5 linked regions of the Macaca mulatta genome follow. The main gene of each other region encodes a partner of the protein of the gene in region 3 in a complex. Links are inferred from orthologs where the notes say so. Each region holds a gene or a part of one and is shown on either strand. Other genes may lie near its edges.

The links.
Region 1: the proteins of CASK (region 3) and LIN7B are in contact, whole or in part, in an NMR structure (PDB 1Y74), measured with the Mus musculus proteins. The link is inferred for Macaca mulatta from reciprocal best matches to the Homo sapiens genes CASK and LIN7B. Residues at the interface, in NP_001271432.1 of Mus musculus: Ala405, Arg408, Ala409, Glu411, Val412, Glu415, Ile416, Tyr419, Glu421, Asn422, Asp424, Ala425, Glu427, Leu428, Ile431, Leu432, Gln434, Phe437, Ala439, Leu440, Leu441, Thr443, His444, Val447, Ala448; in NP_035828.1 of Mus musculus: Leu10, Asp13, Val14, Arg16, Ala17, Leu20, Leu21, Arg23, Leu24, Ser27, Glu29, Leu30, Pro31, Pro32, Lys34, Leu35, Ala37, Leu38, Val41, Leu42, Ser44, Phe46, Cys47, Ile50, Arg51, Tyr54.
Region 2: the proteins of CASK (region 3) and DLG1 are in contact, whole or in part, in an NMR structure (PDB 1RSO), measured with the Rattus norvegicus proteins. The link is inferred for Macaca mulatta from reciprocal best matches to the Homo sapiens genes CASK and DLG1. Residues at the interface, in XP_038955489.1 of Rattus norvegicus: Gly339, Ala342, Ala343, Arg345, Ala346, Val347, Gln349, Val350, Ser353, Leu354, Glu356, Ile357, Leu360, Thr361, Asp367, Leu368, Phe370, Leu371, Ser373, Val374, Phe375, Asp377, His379, Leu380, Thr382, Leu383, Leu384, Asp385, Leu386, Tyr387; in NP_036920.2 of Rattus norvegicus: Arg4, Asp7, Thr8, Arg10, Ala11, Leu12, Leu14, Leu15, Tyr18, Lys21, Leu22, Glu26, Asp27, Leu30, Ser33, Ile34, Arg36, Val37, Ser39, Ile40, Phe41, Ser43, Leu45, Phe46, Leu49, Ile50, Gln53, Glu57, Val58, Leu60.
Region 4: CASK (region 3) and LIN7A share a complex: the UniProt entries of both Homo sapiens proteins name them as parts of the brain-specific heterotrimeric complex. The link is inferred for Macaca mulatta from reciprocal best matches to the Homo sapiens genes CASK and LIN7A.
Region 5: CASK (region 3) and LIN7C share a complex: the UniProt entries of both Homo sapiens proteins name them as parts of the brain-specific heterotrimeric complex. The link is inferred for Macaca mulatta from reciprocal best matches to the Homo sapiens genes CASK and LIN7C.

What each region holds. Positions count from the first base shown.
Region 1 is NC_133424.1:61,565,578-61,571,376, reverse strand, and holds the start of LIN7B (protein lin-7 homolog B), read right to left. Parts: upstream 3,823-5,799; 5' UTR 3,785-3,822; coding exon 3,748-3,784; intron 3,354-3,747; coding exon 3,235-3,353; intron 2,943-3,234; coding exon 2,871-2,942; intron 1,958-2,870; coding exon 1,748-1,957; intron 367-1,747; coding exon 203-366; intron 1-202. UniProt on the Homo sapiens protein: Plays a role in establishing and maintaining the asymmetric distribution of channels and receptors at the plasma membrane of polarized cells.
Region 2 is NC_133407.1:2,598,501-2,603,594, reverse strand, and holds the end of DLG1 (disks large homolog 1), read left to right. Parts: intron 1-4,175; coding exon 4,176-4,282; 3' UTR 4,283-5,033; downstream 5,034-5,094. UniProt on the Homo sapiens protein: Essential multidomain scaffolding protein required for normal development. Recruits channels, receptors and signaling molecules to discrete plasma membrane domains in polarized cells.
Region 3 is NC_133426.1:41,838,657-41,844,529, reverse strand, and holds the start of CASK (peripheral plasma membrane protein CASK), read left to right. Parts: upstream 1-2,521; 5' UTR 2,522-2,563; coding exon 2,564-2,622; intron 2,623-5,873. UniProt on the Homo sapiens protein: Multidomain scaffolding Mg(2+)-independent protein kinase that catalyzes the phosphotransfer from ATP to proteins such as NRXN1, and plays a role in synaptic transmembrane protein anchoring and ion channel trafficking.
Region 4 is NC_133416.1:88,057,153-88,062,706, reverse strand, and holds the start of LIN7A (protein lin-7 homolog A), read left to right. Parts: upstream 1-1,908; 5' UTR 1,909-2,120; coding exon 2,121-2,202; intron 2,203-2,409; exon of another isoform or gene 2,410-2,524; coding exon of another isoform or gene 2,525-2,979; intron 2,980-3,123; coding exon of another isoform or gene 3,124-3,307; exon of another isoform or gene 3,308-5,554. Other genes in the region: uncharacterized protein LOC114670904, read right to left, coding at 2,525-2,979, 3,124-3,307. UniProt on the Homo sapiens protein: Plays a role in establishing and maintaining the asymmetric distribution of channels and receptors at the plasma membrane of polarized cells.
Region 5 is NC_133419.1:37,776,090-37,781,657, forward strand, and holds the start of LIN7C (protein lin-7 homolog C), read left to right. Parts: upstream 1-2,058; 5' UTR 2,059-2,071; coding exon 2,072-2,108; intron 2,109-5,568. UniProt on the Homo sapiens protein: Plays a role in establishing and maintaining the asymmetric distribution of channels and receptors at the plasma membrane of polarized cells.

The sequences.
Region 1 (5,799 bases), on a different chromosome or scaffold from region 3:
CTTGGGATGGAAGGAAGCTAAGGGGTCCCCAGGGGATTTGGCCAGAATAGCCTGGGGTGAGAGGCTGGGCCAGGGGTCAAGGGTCAGCATCCCAGAGAAGGGGCCAGGGCCGGAAGGTCCAGGAAGAATTGGCCTGGTTTGGGAGCCTGGGGTTAAAGGGAGCCAGTGGAGGCCCCAGAGATGTGGTGACCCAGGGACTCACGAGTAGCTTTGGTGCTGCTGGCGCCGGCGGGCAGAGCGCATCTTCTCGAACCGGGCCTCCATCTCCTCCAGCACTCGCGGCGTGTAACGGACGACCAGCTTCACCGAGCCCTGGGCCGCCTTCAGCAGCTCCACCGCCTTCTCATGCTGCTCACCCTCAACGCTCTGCAGGGCCCAACACAGACAGCTGGGCCTGAGGCCCACTGCCCTCACCCAGCCCCCACTGGGAGATGGGACCCACTGCTGGTGAGCCTGGTGCCAGCCCTGAGATGCCAACACCTCATGTCCTCCTCGTGGGAGAGTCATTAACTCCTGGTTCAGTGTCCTCCTCCAAAACCTCCCAGGTTTCCCATGTCAGGGACAGCCCCATGTTCCCTCAGTCCCTGGTCAAACATCTAGACCCATCTTTGTGGCTTCCCTGCCCACAGCCCACTAATGCCTGCCTGCTTTGACTCTCTCTTCTTTGTCCCCACAGCCCTGGGCCAGCTTAGGCCTTGTCCCCTTTCCTTGGACTCTTAGCCCAGCCTTCTGGCTTCTAGTCTCTCCCCTCAGTTCATCTCCATAGGGTCCCAGAGGGGTCCTTCTGTACCTGCAAGCTGAGCTTATCCCTGGCTCACCCCTCCCATAGCTCCCCAGCACCCATGGGACAAAGTCCCAGCTTCTCAGGCTGGCACTCAGGTCCTGTATGGCTGACCCCAGCCACCTCTCCAGTTATGCCTTCCTCAACTCTAACCACAGTGATTTTTTTTTTTTTTTTTTTTTTTTTTTGAGAGGGAGTCTTACTCTTGTCACCCTTGCTGGAATGCAGTGGCACTATCTCGGCTCACTGCAACCTCTGCCTCCCAGGTTCAAGTGATTCCCCTGCCTCAGCCTCCCAAGTAGCAGGAATTACAGATGACTGCCACCACGCCCGGCTGATTTTTTGTACTTTCAGTAGAGACGGGGTTTCACGATGTTGGCCAGGCTGGTCTTGAACTGCTGACCTCAAGTGATCCACCTGCCTCGGCCTCCCAAATTGCTGGGATTACAGGTGTGAGGCACCACAGCCTGCCTAACCACAGTGATTTTAATTACCTGCATGCCCCAGACCTCCCTCAGAACTAAGCCCTTTCTTTTCAGCTCAGAGGTATGCCAAGTCCTTATCCTTATCTACAGTACCCTCAGCAGGAACACCCTTTACCTTGTTTGCCTGGAGAACTCCTACTCATCCTTCAACACCCAACCCAAATGTTCCTTACTCTGCAAAACTTTCCTGTATGTATGTTGGCCAGGTGCCACATCTGGGCTGTCACAGTACTTTGCAGTTCCTCATTATTATGTCTCTGGCTTAGGACTATTTCAGCCGAGGCCTACTGCCCTCCCCAGAGAGGGAAGGTTGAGTGTAGGAGCTGAGACCAACATCTCTCAGGGTCTGTAACACTGGCCAGCACAGGGCTAGCCATAGAGGCAGAGCTCAGTCAGTGTGTGTTGAGTGAATGTCAAAAGCAGGGGCTATGCTACCTTAGACAGACTGTGTCCCGCAGTCCTGCCTCAGCCCTCCACTCACCACACCGTTCACCGACAACAGTTGGTCCCCACGCTTGAGGCCTCCATGGCGGTCAGCCACACCCCCCGGGATGACCCGGGAGATGTAGATGGGCGAGTTCTGCTCTTTGCCACCCATGATGTTGAAGCCCAGGCCCTCATCCGTCTTGGGTAGCTCCACTACCCTGGGATGTGCGTGGCCCTCGCTGGCTGTGAAGGCAGCCACTGTGGCCTGGGAGAGAGAAAGCGACTGAAGATGAGGGCCCCTGCCAGGTGGGCAAGAAGGCTGGGGTGGGGGATCTGAACCGAGGACAGCGATTTAGCCTGGGTTACTATCCCCAAACATGGGACACGTGCCATGGCACAATGCAAGATCCCCCTTTAATGACTGTGCGTCCCTTTCTGTTCACTTGCAAGAGAAAGTGTCCATTTGGTGTGTGTCTTGAATACCCCATACTTGCCAATCTTTTTTTTTTTTTTTTTTTTTGAGATGAAGTCTCGCTCTGTTGCCCAGGCTGGAGTGCAGTGGCATGATCTTGGCTCACTGCAACCTCGGCCTCCTGAGTTCAAGCGATTCTCCTGTCTCAGCCTCCCGAGTAGCTGGGATTACAGGCACCCGCCACCACGATCGGCTTTTTTTTTTTTTTGTATTTCTATAGAGATGGGGTTTCACCATGTTGGCCAGGCTGGTCTCGAACTCCTGACCTCAAGTGAGCCACCTGACTCGGCCTCCCAAAGTGTTGGGATTATAGGCGTGAGTCACCGTGCCTGGCCGCAATCTTACTTTTAAACAGATGAAAGCCAGGCTTGGAGGGAGATCCGAGCCTCTGGGCAGCAGCAAGAGGTAGCATCTCACTATTGTGCAGTGAGAGATCAGAGCGCCATGACTTCCCTGGTTTCACTGTACAGATGTTGAAGGTTATCTTCTAGCCAGTCATGCCACACTGGTTTCCATTTGCAGTTGCTAAAGACGCCTTCGTATGACATTTAAGTTAAAAATGTGCGATTATTTAATAATGGTAAGAGTGGCACATAGATTTAGCAAAAATCATGAGGGAGGAAACAGAAATGACTGGCATGAAGGAGATACTGAGCTCGACCAGGCAGTTAAATAGACACCAGGAGCAATGAGGTGCGGGGCCCACCTTGGCTGTGGCATGGGCTCGGATTTCGGCGCTGCCAGTGATGTCCAGCGTGTCATAAAGCTGCTCATACACCTGGGTGAGGAGGCAGCGGCATCAGGGAGCTGCCAGTTCCTCCAGCCCTAGACGCAGGAGTCCGGGCCCCTAGACCCTCTCCCGCTGCCACGCAAGGATCCGCCCCGCCCCCGCAACCGGAGCCGGAGGAAACTACAACTCCCGAAGAACCACTGAGCTGAAGCGTGGGCACCCCAAGGCTGGCCGCCTCGGGAGCTGCCGGGAGGCGTAGTCCCCGGGCTCGGGACTAGCAGGAGGAGGAGGAAGAGGACGGCGGCCACCAGCTCGCGCCCTTGCGCCGCGCGCCGCTCACCTCTCGAATAGCGGAGCAGAAGCGGCTCTGCAGGACTCGCTGGAGGGCCTGCAGCTTCTGCGGGGGCAGCTCCCCGCTGCGCTGGAGCCGCTCGAGGAGCTCAACCGCCCGGGACACGTCTGCGGGGCGGGGGCGGGGCGCAGAGACCCCGAGACGCAGAGAAGCAAGGAGAGCGGCGGAGTGAGGCCGAGCGCACAGTCCAGGGAGGACCGCCGAAGCCCAGTCGGACACCCCGCAGAGTCCAGGGTGGCGCAGGAGAGACCGCCACCAGCCGGGCGCCCTGCAGCCCCAGGACCCCTCCACAGGCCGGGGTGTAAGGCGGGCGCCCCCCGCCCCGGCCTGGGCTCAGGGAGCCTCCCACACCCCGCGACCGCCCGGCCCCGGCGCCCGCCCCGCCCACCCCGCCGGGTCCGCTGGCCCACCCGCACTGGCCTGGCCTGGGAAGGGCGGGGACCGGGGGCTGGGTATGCAGGCCGCGGCCCGGGTGGGCAGGGCCCCCTGGCGCGCGCTTACCCCGCTCCAGCCCCAGCGGCTCCACCAGCGCAGCCATGTCGGCGCCACAGCTGCCAGCGGCCCGCCTGCCCCGGCGCGGGCGAGGAGGGCGGGGCTGCGCGAGGCCACGCCCCGGGCCACGGGCGCCCCCTGCGGAGGCGCAGCCTGGAGAGCGCCCAGCTCCCCCGCGCCGGACTGTCCCGACCCCCCTGCCGCGCGCCACCCGCGGCCCTGCCCTCCGTCCCGGCCCGTCGGTCCTGTTGGCGACTCCTCCCGTTGTAGGTTCGGTCTGTGTTTCTCTTTCAGGATCAGTGTCTGCCTGCCCTCCACACCTGTCTATCCCCTGTCCATTCTTTTCCCACATTCATTCAACAAACTCCTGTGAAACATCTGGGCCCAAGGCATGGACACTGTGGTGAGCAGGGCAGCCAAGCCCACGGCCCAAACGGAGCTTCCAGTCTATGGGAGAGGTAGACCACCAGCCACGGCTGTAATGAGAGCTGAGAGTGGGGAGGTAAGGATCTAGAAGACGAAGGAGATCCTAGAGCAGGGACATTGACATACAGTCCTGGGAGGTAAGATGAACAAGAGGTGGAGCTTGGGTCACCCCCACCACGCAGAAAGAGTCCACAGGGCTGGAAGCAGAGTTAGGATTGGTTGATGATGAGGTGAAAAGGCCGGCAGGATACAGTTTATGCCTGGGCTCCTGCGTTGGCATATGCGCCTTGAGGATTTGGGGCTTCATGCAAACTCCTAAGAGTAAAATATGACACTCAAATTTGTATTATTATTATTATTATTATTATTATTGAGACGGAGCCTCGCTCTGTCGCCTAGGTTGGGTCTCAGATTTGTATTTTAAGATCACTGGGGCCGGACGCGCTGGCTCACGCCTGTAATCCTAGCACTTTGGGAGGCTGAGGGGGGCGGATAGCCTGAGCTCAGAAGTTCGAGACCGGCCGGGCGCGGTGGCTCAAGCCTGTAATCCCAGCACTTTGGGAGGCCGAGACGGGCGGATCACGAGGTCAGGAGATCGAGACCATCCTGGCTAACACGGTGAAACCCCGTCTCTACTAAAAAAATACAAAAAACTAGCCGGGCGAGGTGGCGGGCGCCTGTAGTCCCAGCTACTCGGGAGGCTGAGGCAGGAGAATGGCGTAAACCCGGGAGGCGGAGCTTGCAGTGAGCCGACATCCGGCCACTGCACTCCAGCCTGGGCGGCAGAGCGAGACTCCGTCTCAAAAAAAAAAAAAAAAAAAAAAAAAAAAAAGAAGTTCGAGACCAGCTTGGACAACATGGTGAAACCCCGTCTCTACGAAAATACAAAAAAAAAAAAATAGCCGGCATGGTGGTGTGCGCCGGTACTCCCAGCCACACGAGAGTCTGAGGCAGGAGAATTGCTTGAGCCCAGGAGGCGGAGGTTGCAGTGAGCCGAGATGGCAACTGCACTCCAGCCTGACAGAACGAGACTCCATCGCTTAAAAAAAAAAAAAAAAAAAAAAAAAAAAAAAAAAAAAAGGCCAGGCGCGGTGGCTCAAGCCTGTAATCCCAGCACTTTGGGAGGCCGAGACGGGCGGATCACAAGGTCAGGAGATCGAGACCATCCTGGCTAACACGGTGAAACCCCGTCTCTACTAAAAATACAAAAAACTAGCCGGGCGAGGTGGCGGGCGCCTGTAGTCCCAGCTACTCGGGAGGCTGAGGCAGGAGAATGGCGTAAACCCGGGAGGCGGAGCTTGCAGTGAGCTGAGATCCGGCCACTGCACTCCAGCCTGGGCGACAGAGCAAGACTCTGTCTCAAAAAAAAAAAAAAAAAAAAAAAAAAAAACTCTGGGCAGAGCGGGCGCTGTGTCTCAGGCCTGTAATCCCAGCACATAATCCCAACACTTTGGGAGGTTGAGGTGGGAGGATCACTTGAGCCCAGGAGTTTAAGACCAGCGTGGACAACATGATGAAACCCCATCTCTACAAAAAAATACAAAAATTAGCTGGGCCTGGTGACGTGTGCCTGTAGTCCTAGCTGCTCTGGAGACTGAGGTGAGAGGATCGCTTGGGCCCAGGAGGTCGAGGCAG
Region 2 (5,094 bases), on a different chromosome or scaffold from region 3:
GTGGCATGATCTCAGCTCACTGCAACCTCTGCCTCCTGGGTTCAAGTGATTCTCGTGCCTCAGCCTCCTGAATAGCTGGGATTACAGGCACGCACCACCACACTCGGCTAATTTTTGTGTTTTTAGTAGAGACAGGGTTTTGCCATGTTGGCCAGCCTGGTCTCAAACTCCTGGCCTCAAGTATCCACCCACCTCAGCCTCCCAAAGTGTTAGGATGGCAGGCGTGAGCCGCTGCGCCCGGCCTCATGATTTTGATTTCTATTCCTCTGATGACTAAAGAGGTTGAGCACTTTTACTGATACCTGTTGGCCATCTGTATGTCTTCTTTGGATAAATATCTATTCCAGTCCTTTGCCCGTTTTTAAAATGGATTGTTTGGTATTTTGCTAATGAGTTTCTTATATATTTTGGATATTAACCCCTTATCAACTGCATGGTTTAGAAATATTTTCTCCTCTTCCATAGGTTGCCTTTTCATTTTGTTGATTGTTCCTTTGCTGTGTAGATTTTTTATTTGATGTCCCACTTGATGATTTTTTTATTTTGCTGCTTGTACTTTCCAAAAATCATCCAAGACCAGTGTCAAGGAGCTTTTTTCCCTGTTTTCTTCTAGGAGTTTTATGGTTTCTGGTTTTACATTTAAGTATTTAATCTATTTCAAGTTAATTTTGTGTAAGATAAGGGTTTAATTTCATTCTCTTGCATGTGGATATCCAGATTTTCCAACACCATGTATTTAAAACACTAGCCTTTCCCCATTGTGTGTTCTTGGCCCCTTGTCAAAGATTAGTTGCCCTTTGATCCGTTTTGAAATACTATTTGTTTAAAAAAAAAAAAAGAGTAGGTAGCAATTCCCCAATATTCTTTTCTTACTCAGTTTGTCCTTTAACTGACTCCTCAAGTCTTTGGACATTTTTGTTGTTGTTACTTGTTTGTTTGAAATAATATCAGCCTAAATTTGACATTCACAGTGAGTATCAGTAAGGGTCATGGTTTTTGTAAGCCTTGTGCTTTCTTATTTTTTTCAAACTAATTTCAGACTTAAATAGAAGTTAGAAGAATAGTACAGGGAGTCTCATGTACCCTTCACCCAAATTCCTCAAGTGTTAACATTTTACCACATTTATAATTTTTTCTGAAGCACTTGAGGGTAAGTTTCAGGTAGATGCCCCTTTACTTCCAAATATTTCAGTGTGTATTTTCCAAAAAACAGGGATATGCCCTTATATAATCATAGTTTTATTACCAAAATCAGGAAATTTAATAATTATGTCTCATCTAACTATAGATCTTATTATTATTTCACTATTCTTCTAATCTCTTTAGAGCAAAATGGGAACAAAATGGTTTTTCTGTTCCAGTGCAAGATGCAGTTCAGGCTCACGTGTTCCAGTGAATTACACATCTTTAACGTTCTTTAATCTGAAATAGTTCCCAAGTCTTGTCACTCATGACCTTGACTGACATTTTTTAAGAGTAAAAACTAGGGGGGTTTTTTGTTGTTTTTTCTGTTTCGTTTGTTTTGTTTTGTTTTTTGAGCCAGGGTCTCACTCTGTCGCCCAGGCTGGAGTGCAGTGGTGCAATCTCAGTTCACCGGAGCCTCCACCTCCCAGGCTCAAGTGATCCTCCTACCTCCGCCTCCCAAGGAGCTGGGACTACAGGCTGCAGCCAACATGCCCGGCTAATTTTTGTATTTTTTGTAGAGACAGGATTCCGCCATGTTGCCCAGGCTGGTCTGTAACTCCTCTGATCCGCCCACCTTCACCTTGGCCTCCCGCAGTGGTGGGATTACAGGCGTGAGCCACCGCACCTGGCCCAGGCTGGTCTGTGACTCCTCTGATCCGCCCACCTTCACCTTGGCCTCCCGTGGTGGTGGGATTACAGGCGTGAGCCACTGCACCTGGCCCAGGCTGGTCTGTAACTCCTCTGATCCGCCCACCTTCACCTTGGCCTCCCACAGTGGTGGATTACAGGCGTGAGCCACTGCACGTGGCCCAGGCTGGTCTGTAACTCCTCTGATCCGCCCACCTTCACCTTGGCCTCCCACAGTGGTGGATTACAGGCGTGAGCCACTGCACCTGGCCCAGGCTGGTCTGTAACTCCTCTGATCCGCCCACCTTCACCTTGGCCTCCCACAGTGGTGGATTACAGGCGTGAGCCACTGCACCTGGCCCAGGCTGGTCTGTAACTCCTCTGATCCGCCCACCTTCACCTTGGCCTCCCACAGTGGTGGATTACAGGCGTGAGCCACTGCACCTGGCCCAGGCTGGTCTGTAACTCCTCTGATCCGCCCACCTTCACCTTGGCCTCCCGCAGTGGTGGATTACAGGCGTGAGCCACCGCACCTGGCCAGAGACCCACTCTTTTATAAAATGTCCTCCCTCAATTTGGATTTATCTGACGTTTTCTCATAATTAGATTTAGGTTGTGCATTTGGGGCAGGAATAGCAGTGAAGTAATGATGTATCCTCTGTGTGTCATACAAGGAGGTTTACGGTCTGCTTGTGCCGTTGCTTGTTATGCTAATTTTAATCACATGGTTAAGGTGTCTGCAGCCTTATGCTCTCCCAGTTTCTTCCCAAGGAGTATCCTGGTTTACTAACCATGCCATTCATGAATTTACAAAGTAAGCAAAATATATATTTCCCAAGTCAATTCCTGACTCTTTTCTCCTAAAATAAATCCTTGCGTGCTGTTGTCAACCTAAACTATGAAATGCTCTGGGATTCTGTCCTGTGCTGTTGGAGTGCATCAAGATGCCAAACCCACAAACCAAGTATTTTGTCAATTGAACTGAGTCTTCAGGGACACTGAGGCATGTCTGTATTTAGTTCAAAAGGTAGAAGTCTCACAAAACTGATACTAGCGAATATTATGTTACTTAAAATTCTTGTTTACTCAGGCATTCCTAGCTACGTATAAGCCCTTCTTACCTATATATAACTTCTTTCTTCTATGCACATAATCTCGGGTACCAAATAGACAGTATTATTTAAAACCTCCCTTCGACATTTTATGCTCAGTTTTTCAGACCATGGAAATCTACACCTATGATGCTCTTCCAAGATCACTGGGGATTTTTTTGTAGTTTAATAAGTGACTTATTTAATTTGCAATTCTGAATTATTTCATTTATATGTAAACTTCTTTTGTGAGAAACAGGGTTTCACTTTGTCACCCAGGCAAATGGTACGATCCAATGGTACGATCATAGCTCACTGCAGATGTGAACTCTGGGCTCGAGAAATCGTCCTGCTCCCTCAGCCTCCCGCGTAGCCAGGACCACAGGCACACACCACCATGCCCGGCTCATTTTTTTTTTTTTTTTTTTTTTTTGGACACAGTGTCTCACTATGTTCCCCAGGCTGATCTCAAACTCCTAGCCTCAAGCAACCCTCCACTTCAGCCTCCCAAAGTGCTGGGATTGCAGGCATGAGCCACCATGCCCAGCCATAAACATTTTCTTTCCTCTTAAAAAGTGACTCATGCTTAGTGCTGTCTAGCGATACTTTGTTTTTGTTTGTTTGCTTGCTTGCTTTGTTAACTGACCCTCATCCCTCACAGACCTCAGGGGCTTCAGCTATTTCCAAAGAATTACTTATTAGTAATTGTTACTCTTTTTTTCACACATTATTTCAGGCAGCAAATAAACATTGATTGTTAAGTCTCTAAACACTAACAAGCTGGCTGAGGTAATTCACCTACTCTACAGTAACTGACGTGCCAGCTTAACTGAAACAAGTAGCATCAATCTGTAGCCAGCTCTTTTCTGCCACGATCCTACCCCAAAAAAATAAAACAAAACATTATCCTGCATCATCCTGTCTGTGGGATTGTAGCCAGTTTCCTTTGTCCTACATGGTGATGGAGAAATCAGGACAGTTAAGAAAATAATTTGTTTTAAAATAATAAAGCTAATATATGCTCAGATGGTAAAAGAACAAAAGATCACCAAATCTTACTTTTTGATCCATTTTTAAGATAAAAATTGTATACTGTACAGGTAGGAAAATTAATGAAGTGAGCCGTTTTTTCTAAGTGAACAGTGCGTAAATGGTGATTCTTCCTGGATGAGTAACTTTCTCAAAGATATTCGTTTCTGCTATTTCACCAATAATTGTAATGACAAAATAGACAATTAATGGAGATTTCTGATTTTGTTTCTATCGTTACAGCTATTGTACAGGGAGATACGCTGGAAGACATTTACAACCAAGTGAAACAGATCATAGAAGAACAGTCTGGTTCTTACATCTGGGTTCCAGCAAAAGAAAAGTTATGAAAACTCATGTTTCTCTATTTCTCTTTTCCACAATTCCATTTTCTTTGACATCTCTTTGCCCTTTCCTCTGGAGTCTTTTTTCAATAATGATTTCATGTTGAATTATATCCCACATCATGGTCTGCAGGTGCGCTTATTTTTTTACATGTAGTGTCTCCTTCAAGTTACATCATGTGTATTATTTAATGTCACTATTGGTTAGTGGCCATTTTTCACAACTGAAGATGGAATGGCCTGACCAGCTATTAAGAATTTGGGGAGACGCAGAAATTGTGGTAAAATTCCTTAATGTTTAAGGGAAAGTAACTTTAAGAGATTTTTGGAAAAGCTTTATATACATTCTTTTCAAATTTCAGTACAAATGAAAAAGTGGTTTTAATCAGTGATTTAGTAGACTTTGAGCAACTATGCACGCTTAAGTTTAATAGCATGGTTTGGCCAGTGTGTTACTCTCAAGTCCTGTTCTCAGTCAGCTTCTATCATCAAAGCAATTGTTTCATTATAGATAAATAAGGAAGACATGTTTTAATTTAAAAATTCATGTCTGAGTTAACTTTCATAAGGGATTTCATTTTTCCTAAGCATTCTTAAAGTCTTTTATTATTTGAAGGTTCTTTTTTCCCAGTACATTTGCTAGGAATAACAACGTTTTAATGTTTTTAATCTACTTGAGCAACACTATCGTGTCTTACAAAAGTTGTTCATATGTAAATGATCATCACATTCTGTGAATCGAGGCCATGTTCAGGTGCTAAGGAAGTTCGCCTTTTACACAGAAGGTTGAGAAAATTTCCTAGATATAAATACAGATA
Region 3 (5,873 bases):
CCAGGGAGTGCCAAGAGCTGATTAAATTAGGCTTATGGCTGTAGGAAGGGGGCTGGATGTGTTAGTTTAATTAATCAGAGCCCACCTCTCCAGTTAAGATGGTTACAATCTCACCTCAAGCTCAGAGCTGCTACCCTATGGTGGGGGAGAGGGGTGGGATGGTTTTTGGGAGAGCAACCACCGCATTCTTCCATCTGTAAATGAGGGAGGCTCTTTCCAGATCCAAACCAACTGTGATCCCATGAGCAGAGCGCTTACTTATTTTTGCAATCGTCTCTCTCTTTTATTCACCTGCACTTTCTTTTCTGTTTTACTTTATAATTGTCCTTTTCTACCTCGGAGCATAGGTCCCTGTGGAAGATAAGAAACCCCAAAATGAAGTCGACAAGTGTTGGTATAGCTCAGTCTTGGGCTGGGGAAAAGAAGTGAAGCTGACAAGGTGACTTGAGAGGGTCCTTGTGCACTTCAGGGCAGAATGGAGTGACGCCTTATTCATTAGACATGAGCTGGACATGCCAACTTGTGGTGAGTTACTCTTGGACCCTTAAAGGAGGCAATGTTTCTCAAGTTCTAAAGCCCCCATCTCTAGAGAATGCACAAGCTCTTTGAGAAAGGAGGAAAACCGTGTGCAATTACACTTGTCCTCTGGTCTGCTTTTTTTTTTTTTTTTTTTTTAAAGGTTTAGTACCCAAATCCTTAGCAGGCAAATCTCTCAGCCTTTTGAGGGAGTGGTCAAGGGTTTGCACGAAACGTTTCTGAAGAGAAAATAGGCTGTGAGTCTCCACATCACCCCCTCCACTTTGGTATTAATAAATACTTTTTTAAAAAAATTACCACACTGAGAAATTTACCAGACGATTTCTGGAAACTGACTTATGAACTAATTGGGCACTTTTGCTATGCGGAGGAACAAAGACTCTATTGGTCTTCAACTGAGGCATATACCTGTCTGATGGCGTTGGCTCATTCCGCACATGCTCAGTTGAACAGAAATCTTCATATTGAATGCAACCTAGCACAGCGGCAACACCCAGAACCTCACTCCCTGGCTGCTCCTGTGCCTGCACTGCCTCTAGTTGCATTTTGTTCCTGACAAGTCTAACATGTATAGGGAGTATACAGAGCAGTGTAGGTGCTGGGAGTTTGAGGGCAATATACAAAGGAGCTTAAAGTCGCGGTTTGTCCCTGTCTTCCTGGCTTCTCTCTAGGTTGGTCTCTAGTGAGGGTAGGCGCTGGATAGGTATTTGTTGAGTTTGGGGCAGAACGTGGGAGAAGCTGTCTCTATAGATGACCGTTTGCTGTCGCACACCTTCCTAGGCAGTTTTTGTTTAGTCCTTTTCTCGGACGACCTCCCCTTGCCCCCAGCCCTCATCTTCATTAAGGAATGACAGGGTAGCACTAAAAGCATCCGCTGCCAAGCACGGATTCAGTGACAACCTCTCTCCACCTCTCTTTTAGCTTTCTCATTCATTAGCACCCTATCCCTGCCTCTTTTCCCAGCAAAAAGCTGGGAAAGGCTCCCTGCGATTACAAAAGAAGGAAAGGGGAGCGGCCAGAGTTTCGAGCCTCTTGCGGGACAACGAGCGTACAGCCGTGGACCTTTTGTCTCCAGCCCCTTTCGCGGCTTGGTCGCCGCTAGGCGCGGAGGCGACGACCCCAACCAGCCCCGCCTCGGCAGCTGCAGCCGGCGCGCCCCGCTCAACCCCCCGCGCCCTCTAGAATCCCGGTGCCCGCCCGTTTGCCGTGACGCGGCCCGCGCCGCGCGCATGCGCCGCTCAGCCCGCTCCCCTTTCCCTGGGCCACCGCCTCCCGACGGGCTAGAGTGGGCGGAGTCTGTGGTTCTGGAAGCCGCGCCGCCGACGGGGGAGGAGGGCGTGTCTGCGCGAGGCGGGTGCGCGGGGCTGGCTAGCCGGTCGGCTGCTGAGGCGGAGGGGCGGAGCAGAAGGCGGCGGCCGCGGCTCCCGCCCGCACAGAGCGCCAGTCCCGCGAAGCCCCCTCCCACTCCCGGGCGGGCGGTGGCGGCTGCGGGAGGAGGAGAAGTAGGAGGGAGCGTCTCTGCCACCGCCTCCTGGTCCCCAGCGCCGATCCGCCGCCGCCACCTCCCTCCGCGGCGATCCTCCCTCCATGGTCCTGCCGCGGCCCCCTCTATAGCCCGAGCTGCTCCGCGACGCGACGGAGCCGGCCTCGGACAGAGGGAGCGGTCGCGGCCTCGCGGCCCGCGCGGGCTGACGAGCGGAGAGCGCGACGCCGCGCGGTCCCCGAGGATCCGCACGCCGGGCAGCGCGGCCCGAGCAGCGCGAGGAGCAGCGGGCGGGCGGGCGGCGCCGGGCCCGGGCCGCCCTCGCTCCCACGCCCCGGCCCCGCCGCCCGCGCCGGGGCGGTCGCCTGCAGAGGAAGGCGCCGCAGTCTCTGGGCCTCGCGGCACCACTCGAGCGTCCTCGGCACCGAGGGCTCGCGGGTCCTGAGGGGAGGAGGCGATCCCGGGGCTGGGCACTGAGCTCTTGGGCGCCCCCACCCCCGTTTTCGAAGCCCTCCACGCTGCGGCCGCTATCCCCTCCGGACCATGGCCGACGACGACGTGCTGTTCGAGGATGTGTACGAGCTGTGCGAGGTGATCGGAAAGTGAGTCTCCACGCGAGGGAGCGGGAGTGTGGAAAAATGCATTTCAGTGATGCCCCGGTCTTCCCGCACCCGCTCCGGGCCTGCCCCCTGCCCTCTCTCCTTCCCCTCTTCCCCTCTTCCCCTCTCGTCCTTCTCATCTTGGAGTATTTATAGACGTGTACCTGGAGCTCCTGCCAGGCGGGGGCCTGGGGGTTCTCAGCGGTCCATTGAGGCCACCGAGCCGAGGCTGGCCACCCCGTAAGGCGTGGGGCCGGCTGCCTGCATTTTATCTGACGGTTGCACAGGGACGTGGCACAGCCGATTTTATAGTTGCTTCAGTTGGGGTTTTTGTTACCTTGCATGTGCCATAGACCATTTTTGAAAAGAGCAGCTTGCATTTCCTTTGCTTGTGTGGTGAGAGAGAGAGTGAGTCCAGGGTTTTAATTGTGGGGTGTGTGTCTATTGTGCGGGATATTAGACAGATGCCTTTGTGTACACCCCATGCCCGGATTGGAGGGGATCATTTAAGACCGGGTGCGTTCAGTTTCAGCACATTCCCTCCTGGTGTACATGAACGTGGAAAGAGTTGGGGGCATTCGAATTTTTAATGCTTCGTTATGCAATGACTGTTCAATCAGTGCTCGAGGCTCCCCTCGACTGTTGTTGGGATGGTGGTTAGCGTGGTAGAGCCGTCTGCTTTGAGTCACCGGGCTGGTCTAGAATATAGAACTGACAGTCCAAATGCTCATCCTTTCATCTGTGTTGTATAATTACGCTGGGGAAAAGCAGGGAATCAGATTAATCACAGTGCTGATTGAGAATTAAATCTGCAGTTCCTCATCTAATTGTCCATTCCTTAAATCTATTTTGAATAGTTTCCTTTTCATTCTTGTCAAACAGTATTCCAAGTGCACAATCCTGCTAATTTGCTTGTGAAGGAAATGCTGGCAATCTGAAGTTGATTTCCTAACACAGCGTGTATTCTGTGGCTTTAGAAGTTGAGGAGATAAGATTTAAGAGCAAATTTTTGCTTAATAAGGATCGCTAGAGCTACCATTGAAATATCTTACCTCTTTTTTTTTTTTTTTTTTTTGGAAGCGGTGCTTTATTGTCTATTTTAAGGTCCACAGTTGGGAAATGAAACCAAGACCTTAGAGCAGTTGGCCCTATCTCTTTTAAGTTGTCTGCAGTACACGATTTCAATTTGAGTGCTAATTTGTTTCCTTTTCTTTCCATATTGAGGTATTACAGTGTTGCCTCACATGGTGAAATTGTGGGTAGAGCTTGCTACACACTTTACTCAGACCCAATTGATATGAGGACATGTTACTCCTTGCCCTATTGTTACATGACCAGCCAGACTGTTAAAAGGAAAGTATCCAAATGTGTCCTGTTAAAGTGGTTGTGAAGTGTTCTAGAACAGCACTGTCCAAAAGATATATTATGAGCCACATTTGTAATTTAAAATTTTCTAGTAGCCACATTTAATAAAAACATACAGGTGCAATTAATTTTACTAAAATATTTTATTTAACCCTGTAGATCCAAACTTAACACTTAAACATGTAATCAGTATGAAAAAATATTAATGAAGTATTTTACATCTTTTATGCTAAGTCTTTGAAATCCCAATGTGTATTTTACACTAACAGCACATCTCAATTCTGACACTAAGCTACATTTCTGATAAAAATCAGAAATACTTAATCTGTATTTAGGTTTCATAAAATGTGCATTTACAAAAGTAGATTCACATACCCAAGTTACCCAATATACATACCCAATATACATAAAAGTTTTCCAATAACTGAATCAAGTACGTTTTTCTAAATTTAAATTTTAATTAATTAAAATTAAATAAAATTCAAAATTCAGTTTCCCAGTTGGACCAGCCACGTTTCAGGTGCCTAGTAGCCACATGTGAATAGCACAGTTCTAGAGAGAAAAATGTATCAAAAATCTCCTTGGTTTCCTCATTCTTAGCAGCACCCAGTGAAGATAAATTAGGTGTTTCCCAAGAGCCTCCAAATGACCGTATGTGTGGGTGAATTACGTTTGTTGCATCTTAGTTATAGCTGATGTAAACGAACTAACAAAGTCATAATTGGAAAATGTGAGATTAAAATGTTAATTATATTGTGAAGATGGAAAATAGCCATCACTGAATCAGTTTTGGTAACCAGTTCTGATTCCTTAAGGTCTGGAAGGGCGATGATGTGATCTCTTTGGATATCAAAAAGAAATGGTCAGAATCACATTAACACAGTCAGTATTCCGCTGATTTGTAATTGATAGAATATTTTCAGGAAACACCCCTGGGAGAAGAAAATTCATCTTTTCTGGCTGTTTCAGAGCTGCATAAAGAGGGGCAGCAAGCTAATTTTGAGGTGATAGGTACTCTGTGGCTACCTTAACTACTATGAACTGTGAAATCTCATTCATATTTGAAACCAATTCAAATATGTGCCAATTATAAAATGCCATTACGTGAAATAATGAATTCAAGCTAGCCTTATTGTTAAATAATGTAATAATAGTGTTCCTCAACCTGAGTAAAGGTTGAAGGTTTCTCCAGTAAATTGCCTTAGTATATATTGATCTGGAAATTGAAATTAGCTTGAGATTTTCTTGCAGGGACCTTGACAGCATACATTTTTAACTTAGAATTTGTTCACCTCTGAATTTGAACAGAAAGCCCTTGAAGATGTTCGCATGTGCTGAAAACCTTTTTATTGATTTCTATTCAAGTTCTATGGAATTTTGTTTTCTTTTTCACCAAATTAGTATCACAAGTTGTTTTTCACCACTAGATCTTAATAGGTTTAAATTTTTACTAAGGTACTTTAAAATAGATTTCACTTTTCAAGACTAATTGACCTCCCACTCACTCCTCTACCTACGCAACCACCTACTCACTTACCTCTGTGTACTTGGCCTTAATTGATGGCATAAATGAAAGTTCTCGTCTAATTTAGACCCTTCAGTGTGCTTTTTTTTCCCGTTGGTTGAGAAAGACAACTTCTAGAGTTAATGAGGTTTTGAAATATAAGATCATTATTTGGAATATGTTTTCTTTCCAGTGGCTGCAGCCTTTACCCTTGTTAAAGCTGTCTTTGAGGGAACATGTGCCCAATTTGTTACAAATATTGGAAGGATGTCGTTTCCCTTTTTAAAAATTAAAACTCTTTTCCCTGTGTTTCTCATTTTTGAAAATCTTGCAGAAACTCCTTTGAATGCTTGTTGGTTCTATAACATTTTCTACGTAACTATCT
Region 4 (5,554 bases), on a different chromosome or scaffold from region 3:
ATTTTATGCAAAAGCTTAGAACACACTCTGGTATCATTGAGCTCATCTCAACTTCTTTCTGTTGCTTAATTCAGGGAATGTGAATAATGGTAACAAACCAAAGTTGCTTTTTCAACCTCTGGCCTCCAAGAGCACCTCCTTTCAATAATGCTTAGAGTACTTACCGCACAGAAGTTTATGGTTTGCTCACCATCTCTCAAGCAAGACTGGGCAGAGTGGGCCGACTCAATCTTTGCATGGTTAGCACCTAGCACAGAGCTTACCACATGGCTCCAGGGGATGTATGCTTGTACAAATAAATTTGTATATTCTTTACTGTTTTCAAAGCACAATCACATGTATGAGTCCATTAGTCCCTCACAAATCTCAGTGAGATTGCAAGGTAGAATTTGTTTCCTCATATGACAGAATCTCTTTGAGGTTGAATAATATTTTCACCGTATGACAGAGGAGGAAACAGGATCAGTGAGAAATTGTGTGACTTCTGAAGAGCACATAACTAAGACTCAAATGTCAAGACCAGCATTCTTCCTTAAATACTAAATAAAAATAAGCATATTGAACTACTATTTTAGGTTTGTTTTTAGGGTCTGTTAAGTCTATATATGGCCAATCATCTTTGGCTTTCCCACATTGGTGAAATGTTGCTTTTTAAAATTCAATTGTAGACTATAAAATGAAAAAGACCTTCAGAAACCATATCTGTAATCAGAAGAAAATGGCATCAATTATATGCAAATATTTTGCTATAAAACTGTATCTGCCTTTTAGAGTTTATTGCTAGCCCAAACAATTCAGCTCTGTCACAGGGAACAAGATGGAGGCAGCTTTGTCATTTCCAATCCTGCACCCACAGTCACCCCTATTCAGCTTATAGAAGGTTTCTTTATGTCAGGAAATGAATCCCTACTATGACAAGATAGTGAAAGTAGCCTTTTTATTGGGGCGAAGAGGTCACAGTCAGTATTTGAAGGCTCTTGTAATTTAATCCTGATCAACTGGCTCTAAAGTCAAGCTTTTAATAACACCATCTCCCACTAGATTACAGGCTACAGGAAGTCAGAGACTAAATTGAACTCCTAAATCAAGGCGTGGCACAAGGCAATGTAACTCTTCTATCTCAATTCCTGGCATATTTGTTAATCAATAAGTGACATCTCTGACCCACTGGTTAGAAATCAACATGAAAAGTGCTAGGCACATATTTTTCAAACTAAGTGATAGACAACCAAAATCAGTTTGGACATTAAGAGCAAAGTTTTTGTTGAGTGGCTGGGCGGGAGTGGGACATGTTTACAAGACGTGGTATGTAAAAAATTTGGAGAAAATCTGAACACTCTACTTGTTTCTGAGCTACATTTACTGAATTGGTAATGTATTAACAGTGGCTTGAAAAAGAAAAGAAAACTTAGGGATAGAAACTTACCCCCATGCTTTTTATTTTGAAGCACTTCTAAGAGGTTTGCTATATTTTTTTTTTCCAGGCAATATACTCAGATCCTAAATGAACATCTACTGATGGAACTCTGGCCTTTAGTCAGTTATCTTTATATGCCGTTATAGGTCAACATTCCGAAAAACTTCAACAGAAATTAACTGCAAATGTAATTGCATCCCAAACATTTCTGACACTGAAGCATTTTCTCTCTAAAGGAGATGGGATTATTGGATTGGCAATTTCTCTTAATCTGAGAAAACTCATCTCCCACTCCCTCCCCCATATCCCCTTTCTATCCTCTCTCTTCCCCTGACACACACGCACACGCATGCACACACGTATATTCTGACCATTTTATTAGAGTGGAAAGTTGAAAGAAAGCAGTCCGCCAGCTACACCCACCCAGTGCTCCTGGGGGTGGAATAGCAAAGTTCCAGGGCAGAGCCTTCCCTCCCAGAGCCCGGCGATGCAGTCGCTCTCGGATACCTGCTCAGCTCCGCACCGCAACTGAAAGATCTGCCGCCGCGGAACAGTTGCCTCTCCATCTGGCTACCAACCCACCCAAGCTTTCTTCTCCACCACCACCACCTTCTTTCTTCCCCCTCCTCCCCCTCCTTTCCGTCTTCCCTCTCCACCCCCGCCCCCAATCTCCTCCTTTTTTTCTCACTACGAGCGGTTGCTGATGCTGAAGCCGAGCGTCACTTCGGCTCCCACGGCAGACATGGCGACATTGACAGTGGTCCAGCCGCTCACCCTGGACAGAGGTAAGGGAGCGGCTCGCTAGCCAGGCCACCGCGTCCCCTCTCCCCTCCGCCCTCCCCCGCCTGCCAATTCCCACCGGGACACGGGACGCGCTCGGGCCGGGGGAGAAGGGGAGCGAGGACGAGCCAGGAAGACGTTCGCGCCTAGAGCAGGACACTTTCTTCCCTTCTCTCTCCCCGCTACATCCCCGCTGCCCCTTCCCACTGTACTCGCCCCGCCGAGGGGACTCCTCCTTCTGGCTCTAGGGTCCCCGCTGCCACTCCCAGTCCCTCGCCGGGTCGTCTCCGGGCCTCTGGCTTTGTTGGAGCGGCTGCTTGGGGACGGCTAGGCGCCAGGGGCTCGGGGTTGGAGAGGGGCAGAGAGCAAGCTCGCCCGGCCGGAGCCCAGAGGAGACCGGCGAGGGAGCCGCCTGTCAGCCTGCTCGGCGCGGGGGCGCGGGAGGAAGGAAGTTTGTCCAGGCGCCGGAGGGCGAGGGTCGGTCCAACTGCTGGAGTCAGGGCGGCCGCTCGGGGGGCGGGCTGGGCGCACCCCGGGGCGGCCGGGCGCACAGTGGCGGGGCTGCAGCAGGCAGGTAGCTGCCCTCCGCCGAAAGGGCAAGGCAGAGCGCGGGGAGCCGAGCCCCAGCAGCCGAGTTCGGCTCTCCCCGGCTTCGCGTTCGAAAGCGGCGAGGGTCGCGTCTGCTCCCGCCGCCGGCAGCTCCCAGTCGGTAGCAACTCTCGGCTTCTCCCGCGCCAGCCTCTCTCGTCCTCTCCCAGCTCTGTGCCACCGCGGCGCCCGGGCTGCGGAAGGCGCGGGGACAAAGCGCAGGTCGGGTTAAAATTCAACTTCTGACCTGCGACCCAGTCAGTCCTGCTCTCTGACCCGAATGGGGAAAGTGTTCTCTTCCTCCCCAGGACGCCCCCACCAAGCTCAGGGATGGAGACCTCTGCTGCGATCCGGGCCTCGCTGGTGCACCCGCGCGGGGTTATACCTGTCCCTGAGTGTATGGGTTTCCTTCCTGGCTTCCAACGTCCAGTGATGAAGGCGCTCGAGTCCCACGGCTCTGCAGAGGAGGACACCCGCTAGTCCCTCTCCGCAGCCGCCGGATTTAGGACCCTGGGCGGCCATTTGGAAATTGTGTGCTCAGAAGAAAAATGATTTAGTCCGATGTACCTCTAAAAATTTTCTTTCTAGAGGATTAAACTGAACGGTGGGGCAAGGCAAAAGAGCATCCTGCTGGGAGTACAGTGACAAAGCCAGTGAACTCAGTTTGAGGTTTTTAATTTGAAGAGACTGTGGGTGACTTTACGCAATCTGTTGGCGCCAGAGCAGATGTTATGTGGTGCCCATAGCAACCTTTCTTAGGATAAGAGTTGAAAAATAAAATGTAATTGATTTTATATTAGAAAATGTTGATTTGCAAGCTGGCAAAATTAATAACAGTAGTTAAAGACCTCAGAAATCCATTGTATAATCCATGATCTTACCCACAATATCATCATCTGCACTAAGCAGGATAAATCCATTGCCGGTAAGAACCAAACAGATGGCAAGCTATCAGAAACTATGGGCTTCCCAAGTATTTATGTTTTAATGTGATGTGCTCTTATATTGTCCCATTACAAAATCACAGTCATTAAACATCCCAAACCAAGTGACTACATTAGGAGCAAAAACTCCAAGAAGATTGCATACTTGAGTCATTTTATATACTACCACTACTACTACTAATAAAAATATTTCAATGTTTGGTTTTTACCCTAGCCCTTAGATGCCTCAGTCAGTTGTTGAGAGGAGGTGCTAATCGGACTAAGATTTATTCTTAAAGTTTGTTCTTGTTCACAACCAAACTCTACTTGTCCTTCTGAGTGTGATTACGCCCATGGAGTAGCTCAGGAGGCAAACAGGGTTACCCTGTGGATAGGTCTGAAAAAATTCACCAGCAGCTCATGAAAATCTATAACCAAGAGATGATGGGTTATTGGCATCACCACTGAGCATAAAGTCAATATAAATAAATAATTGTTCTCTGTACCTTATTAAAATATGATTAATTGATTACTTTCATTATTAAACTGATGAAAGAAAAGGTTCTAAAAATTTCCCTGCAAAAAAAGGTGCATTTTAAAAGAGGCAGCCCAGTATTACATATCTGGGTCCCAGTTGTAACTCTGATACTCACTCTGCATATATGAGCCTCTTTGGACATCAGATTCTCTCTGTGCCACATCAGGAGTTTGAATTAGATGATTCTAACACTGTGCAGCTTTAGCAGTCTATAATTCAATTAATTAGAGTTAGGACTCAGTTTTTGGTCACCTACTGGGAGATTTTCCAGATCACCTCTCTCCCAGGCTGCTTTGGTACCCTTTGATATGCTTTAAATTGACTTGCTGCTTTGGCCCCATTAAAGCATTTATCACACTCTGTTGCATTTGTCTCCCTATTGGATGGAACTCCTTGAGGGAAGAGACCATTTCTAAATTCATCTTTGAATTCTCAGTGTCTGCCATAGTCCCTGACTCACAGTACAATAAAAAATTAATGTTTAGTTGGGGTAAGTAAACTCAGGATAGCAGTAACTTAAGCAATGTTAAAATATAGTGATTTGCTAGTGAACTGAGGTGCATTTCATAGATTCACAGTATTTTGGACATGGAAAGGATGATAGTGATAACATAGGCCAGAGATTCTCAACCTAGCCTTCCCCTTATACACTTGATGGATTCCCATCAGTAACAGTAGCTCACCAAAACTGTGACATTTAACCAAGAGAAATTGTGGCAGGTGGGCAAAGGAGAAGAAGGGAAGAAGGTGATGGACAAAGCCTCCCAAGGGCATCCCAGCAAATCTGAATATATAATCTATAATTTTAGAGCTGCTAGTTCTTTTTTGGTATCTTCATTTTACAAATGAAAAAGCATGAAAAAGTGAAGATAAGAGATGTTTTCAAGGTTGCTCTGTTTAGTGGAAATTTTATGTTAAAATTGAATTACTTTTTGTTTGCTACCCTTTGACATCATACATGGATATAGTCTTCAGGGCGAACGTTTTAAGCAAACAAATCAAAGCTAGGGATCAAAATTAAGATTTACTGCTTTCCAAATTTGAAAGATATATCTGAAAGTAAGAAACTCAGAAGTCTCCACCTAGCTTCTTGGGTCTGCTCTGGGAAGTAAGCTTTTTCAAGGTCCAGGCTGGGCCCCAAAAGGATGAACAAGGTGATTTCAGACTTCCATGGCTCTGTGCCTATCCAAAACTCTTTTTGATCTGCCATTAAGACCTGAGATCAACCCTGTAAAGTCCTCTGGGTGGCTATGGTCATTGTAAGTTCTTGTTGACTTTGGTCCCAGTCCTTGATATCCTTCACTTAAT
Region 5 (5,568 bases), on a different chromosome or scaffold from region 3:
ACACACACCCACACCCAAATCAAACTGGTAGAAGCAACAACTACAATGTTTTATATGAAGAATGAACTGGACAGGATTTCAATATTAGATATTGAAAAAAGATTAATGAACATGAAAACCTAGCAATTATCCAAAAGGAAACATAAAGAAAACCTTGAAAAAAAGAAGAGCATCATTGAGCTGTGAGACAATGCCAGTTAGCTCAATATACATGTATACTATGTACATGCACACGACTCCAATAGTCACCAGTGGAGAGGAGCAAGAGAATGCAAAGAAAAAATATTTGAAGAAATAAGAGCAATGTTTGCATTTGTCTTGCTCTACCTGGTATTCCTATCAAGGCACCTGGTATATATTAGGTGCTTAATAAACATTTCTTGAGCACATTTGCAGCAGAAAAAAAAGACAACAATGAGTAAGAGATAAGCACCTGAGTGTTACTGCAGGGTATTTAGGCCATCAGAGGACAAAAAAGTGGAACAATATGGAGAAAAGGCTTGGTAGAAGTGGCATGTCTTCAGCAGGGACCCATGAAATGGGTTCAACTGAGTGTCTACAAAGTTTGGAGAACAGGAGGGGATGAAGAAGGGCATTCCACACAAGAACAACATAAATGAAGATTTGGGGCCCGGCACAGTGGCCCACACCTGTAATCCCAGCACTTTGGGAGGCCAAAGCAGGAAGACTGCTTGAGCTCAGGAGTTTGAGCCTGGGCAACATAGCAAGACCCCCCATCTCTACTAAAAATTTAAAAATTTGCCAGGCATGGTGGTGCTTGCCTGAAGTCCTCACTACTGGCAAGGCTGAGACAGGAGGCTCTCTTGAGCTGTGATCGCACCACTGCACTCCAGTCTGGACAACAGAAAGAAACTCTGTCTCTAAACAAACAAAAAGACTTGAAACCAGGAATAAATATGGTTGAAACTATCCCACCCGGACTGAAGTGGTGGTTGCACTTAGCGGTAATAAGAAATGAACTTAGCTGGATGAGTTGGGGTCAGAGTATGCAAGGCTTTAGAAATAAGAAACAGGAGAGAACTATTGAAAGTTTCTGAACAGATCTTGTGATGATGAAATCAGAATTCAAGGGGAGAAAAAAGAAGCATAGTGATGGCAGATATCCGTGATGGATTTGGAGAAGAAAATACTAAAGGTGAATGGAAAGGGTGGACCAGCGGCAACCAGGTTATTAAAACAGTCGCATCATGAAGTGTTGAAATATTGGATGTAAACACACCTACCACAGTATCAGTACAGACTAAGGGCTTGGATAAATGTTAGTCAAATCCAAATACTAAAATTCTTCTTGGTTCGCGAAAATTTCAGGAGTGGCTCAAAGAATCTGTAATGCATTAAGAATACTATTTGCTTCACAATATTTAATTTAGTTAAGATTTCATAAGAATCAGCTGCTTATAAAATTGTTACTTTGTGGTGCACCAAAGCACCTTGTTCTCTCCCTCACCCAGATATGTTATCATGCTGTTTGTACTTTCCACCCTTAAACAGATTTGGAGGGAAGATTCAAGCCGTGGATTTTTAAATTTAAAGCAATGCTGTCACAAACTGAGAACTGACATGTCATTACATATTTAATTGCCACCACATCCCAGAGTTTAAAAATTGAAAGGACCTAAGAGATAGGACCTCTCGTTGTACAGAGGCGGAAACTGAGACTGAGAGAGGGTAAGAGAACAGTCCCAGATCACAGAGCTGCTAATGGGCAAGGTGGGACTAGAATCCAGGCTTGACTCCTCTACGTGGAGCCAAGGGTTCGAAGCGATTCGGATAAGGGAAGCCCGAGGCAGGGAACGAGAGTCATGAAAGCAGCTCTTTCCAACCCTAGGAGGCCGGGGAACCTCGCCACCGCGGAAGGAGCGGAGCCAGGCCAACCTCAAAAGCCGCAAGTCCAGGTACCCTTACCCTGATGGCCCCGGCGACACCCTCGGCCACCCTCCTGATCTCGCGATACTAGCCGGTACTCACTTTTCCGGCTTCCTCTAGACCCCGCCCCTCCACCTCAGCCCTTCTGTCGTCATTTCCTGTGGGTCTGTGGGCTAGGGAGAAGATGGCGGCGTTAGGGGAACCCGTGCGACTGGAGAGGGGTGAGTGCAGCCGAGGCTCGGCCGAGGTTGGTGGAAGGGTTGGGAGAGTGCTGTGTCGCTGGAGGGGAGGAGGAGTGACCCAGGCCCTGAGATCCGGAGCCAGGCTATCCCTTGTGCCGGCGCCAGAGGCCACCGTTGTTCTGTGCCTGGCTTTAGTGAGGGCGCTTACGGTATTTCAACTGTTACTCTAAGCTCTCCTCTGTTCACACGGACTGTCCCGAAGCACAGCACAACTAAACACAACCTGCCCGCTTCGCAGACACACGCCGCACACGCGCTCCCTTGGTGGGCACAGCAGAAGCAGCATTCAGAGACCCATATACCCGAAAAGCAAACGTCACACACCCGGTTCGCACAGACTACACTCAATGCCTGTACAACATGAGAACACACACGGTACAATTCAATAGAACCTCCCTTCCCCCTTGTTTACACACATACTCCTTCATTACTTTTTCCACAACATCGCTTGTATTTGGGTTGGGGTATTTGCTAGCTTTTGTGCCCCTCCTAGAAATGGAGAGGTTGCTTTAAAACAATCCTACTCACTTGGTCTTGGGAAGGAGGTTACGTAAGTAAGCAGAATAGTGGTAGATGCTAAAACGCTTGCAGGTGCAGTGTTTTTCATTTCTTGCAAACCCTACAATTGCAAACTGGTTGGCTGATTGCTTCCTAGAGCAGACTGTCAAGGAAAATAAAACCTCCTCTTCTGAGTGATTTTTTTTTAGAGAAGCCTGTGAAAATAACTGGCTATGCGCCTACCAGATTTCCAGCATTCCAGCGTTTCCAGTCCTTTTACAGATTTCCAGCATTCCACTCTGTCCCTAATCCTTTATTTCAAACAATTTCAAGCATGCTTTTCATGCACCAGCATTAGAAATCATTGATAGGAGCTGAGAAGTACAAATAAACATTTTGAGTACTTGTGGTTAAAGAAAAAAAAAAAATTATAGGATGGAGACTGAAATTATATTGCACATATTAACATTTGCAGTTACAGTCTAAATACTACTATTGTTCCCTAAGAAAACACATTTTTAGAATTACTGTACTTAGAAAAACTTCTTTCCTAATGCCTTCCCACAAAGAAATGTGCACTTAATGTTGCTGATTTGCTCTTTACTGTGTTCACCATTTGGAAGTCTCACTGTAAATGAGATTCTTACCCTTAAGCCAATTAAAGCATCATTTTAGAGGACTAGCTACTCTGGGAAGACTTGCTGAGTTAGGCCTAAGTCTGTGACATCTTCCTCTTGAGCACAGTAGCACTGTGTTTTATGGATGGGAACAAATCTGTTTGGTGTTAACAGGAGTAGGTTTCTTCTTTGAAAGCTAGTTGTTAAGATTCTAACATATTGATGGTCTTCTGTGTTTTTGTTGTTGCTGTTTGGAGACGTAGTCTTGCTTTGTCGCCCAGACTGGAGTGCAGTGGTGCGATCTCGGCTTACTGCAACCTCCGCCTCCGTGATCAAGCAATTATCCTGCCTCAGTCTCCCGAGTAGCTGGGACTACAGGCGCACACCACCACGCCCGGCTATTTTTTGTATTTTAGTAGAGACGGGGTTTCACCGTGTTGCCCAGGCTGGTCTCGAACTCCTGAGCTCAGGCAGTTCGCCCGCCTCGGCCTCCCAAAGTGCTAGGATTATAGGCGTGAGCCACTGCACCCGACCAGTCTTTGTATTTTTAAATGCAACACAAAATGTGGAACTTCTGTGGCATTTAGTTTTGATAGTCATGGCTTTGTTTTTTGCTGTTAACAGACTTCTTTTCCATTCTTCAGTAGAAGGCTCAGCCCCTTAGGATGAATTACAGTTAGCCCTCTATATGCATGGGTTCCACGTTTCAGCCAACTGCAGATTGAAAATACTCAGAGAAAAAAATCGTGTCTGTATAGAACATGTACATTTTTTTCTTGTCCTTATTCCCTAAACAATGTGATATAACAACTATTTACATAGCATCAGATATTGTAAGTAATCTAGAGATTATTTAAAGTATGGAGGGGGGATATGCATAAGGTTATATGCAAATACTACATCATTTTATATCGGAGACTTGAACATCTGCAGATCTTGATATCTGTGGTATCTGCAGAAGGTCCTAACGAATTCCCCACAGTTACTGAGACAGCTGTACTAGTCGTTGCCATTTAGCAGGGTAAGAAAGTCAGATTACATCACCTCTGATTCTTGTTTACAATTCTAACAGACTCTATTAACAAACACTCCCAACAATCTTACAGCAGAAAATCCTACAGTACAACTACAATACAGCACCTGATCACATATGATTTAGAGTGCCTTCTAAATCATCAAACTATGATCTAATGAAACACAAATTTGAGCACATGTTAGCTACATTTTAGATTTAGTCAAAAGCATTTTATTTTTTTCCGTTTTTTTTTTCTTCATTGGAAATTTTTATATGACTTACATATTATAACTTTATAAATCAAAATAATTGATGAACCAACAGTCCCCATTTATCAGTCATTCTGGTGATGGGAAATCAGAATGGTGAAGGTCTATTTGCTTCCATTGCATTTGATTAACTTTTTAAGTTTAAGCTTTCTTTACCACAAATTTAAAAATTTGTTTTCTGGCCAGGCGCAGTGGCTCATGCCTATAATCCCAGCAGTTTGGGAGGCCGAGGCGAGCAGATCAATTGAGGTCAGGAGTTCGAGACTAGCCTGGCCAACATGGTGAAACCCTGTCTCTACTGAAAATACAAAAATTAAGTGGGCGTGGTGGCGGGTACCTGTAGTCCCAGCTACTCGGGAGACTGAGGCACAAGAATCACTTGAACCCTGGAGGCGGAGGTAGCAGTGAGCCAAGATCATACCACTGCACTCCAGCCTCAGCAATAGAGGGAGACTCCGTCTCAAATAAATAAATAAATAAATTATCTTTCAGCCGGGCTTGATGGCTCACGCCTGTAATCCCAGCACTTCGGGAGGCCAAGGTGGGTGGATCACGAGGTCTGGAGTTCGAGACCAGCCTGACCAACAGGGTGAAACCCCGTCTCTACTAAAAATACAAAAATTAGCCAAGCGTGGTGGTGGACCCCTGTAATCCCAGCTACTCAGGAGGCTGAGGCAAGAGACTCTCTTGAACCTGGGAGGCAGAGGTTGCAGTGAGTGGAGATTGCGCGACTGCACTCCAGCCTGGGTGACAGAGTGAGACTCCCTCTCAAATAAATAAATAAATAAATAAATATCTTTCTTTACTGCATTTATTCATAGTTTTCTATCTGCAAACACGAAGAAGGCCATACTATATAAAGAAAAATTTCTAGTCCTTGAGTATAACATGAAATCAGAAACATCTTCTACTTAAGTCAAAAGGAAGCAAAGCAGTAATGGAATACTGGGCACTATAGTACCTGGGGTACAGAAACTGTACAAAAACAGTTTTTGGAAAAAAAAAAAAAGTAGAGATAACAGTATTATAGCTGACCTCCT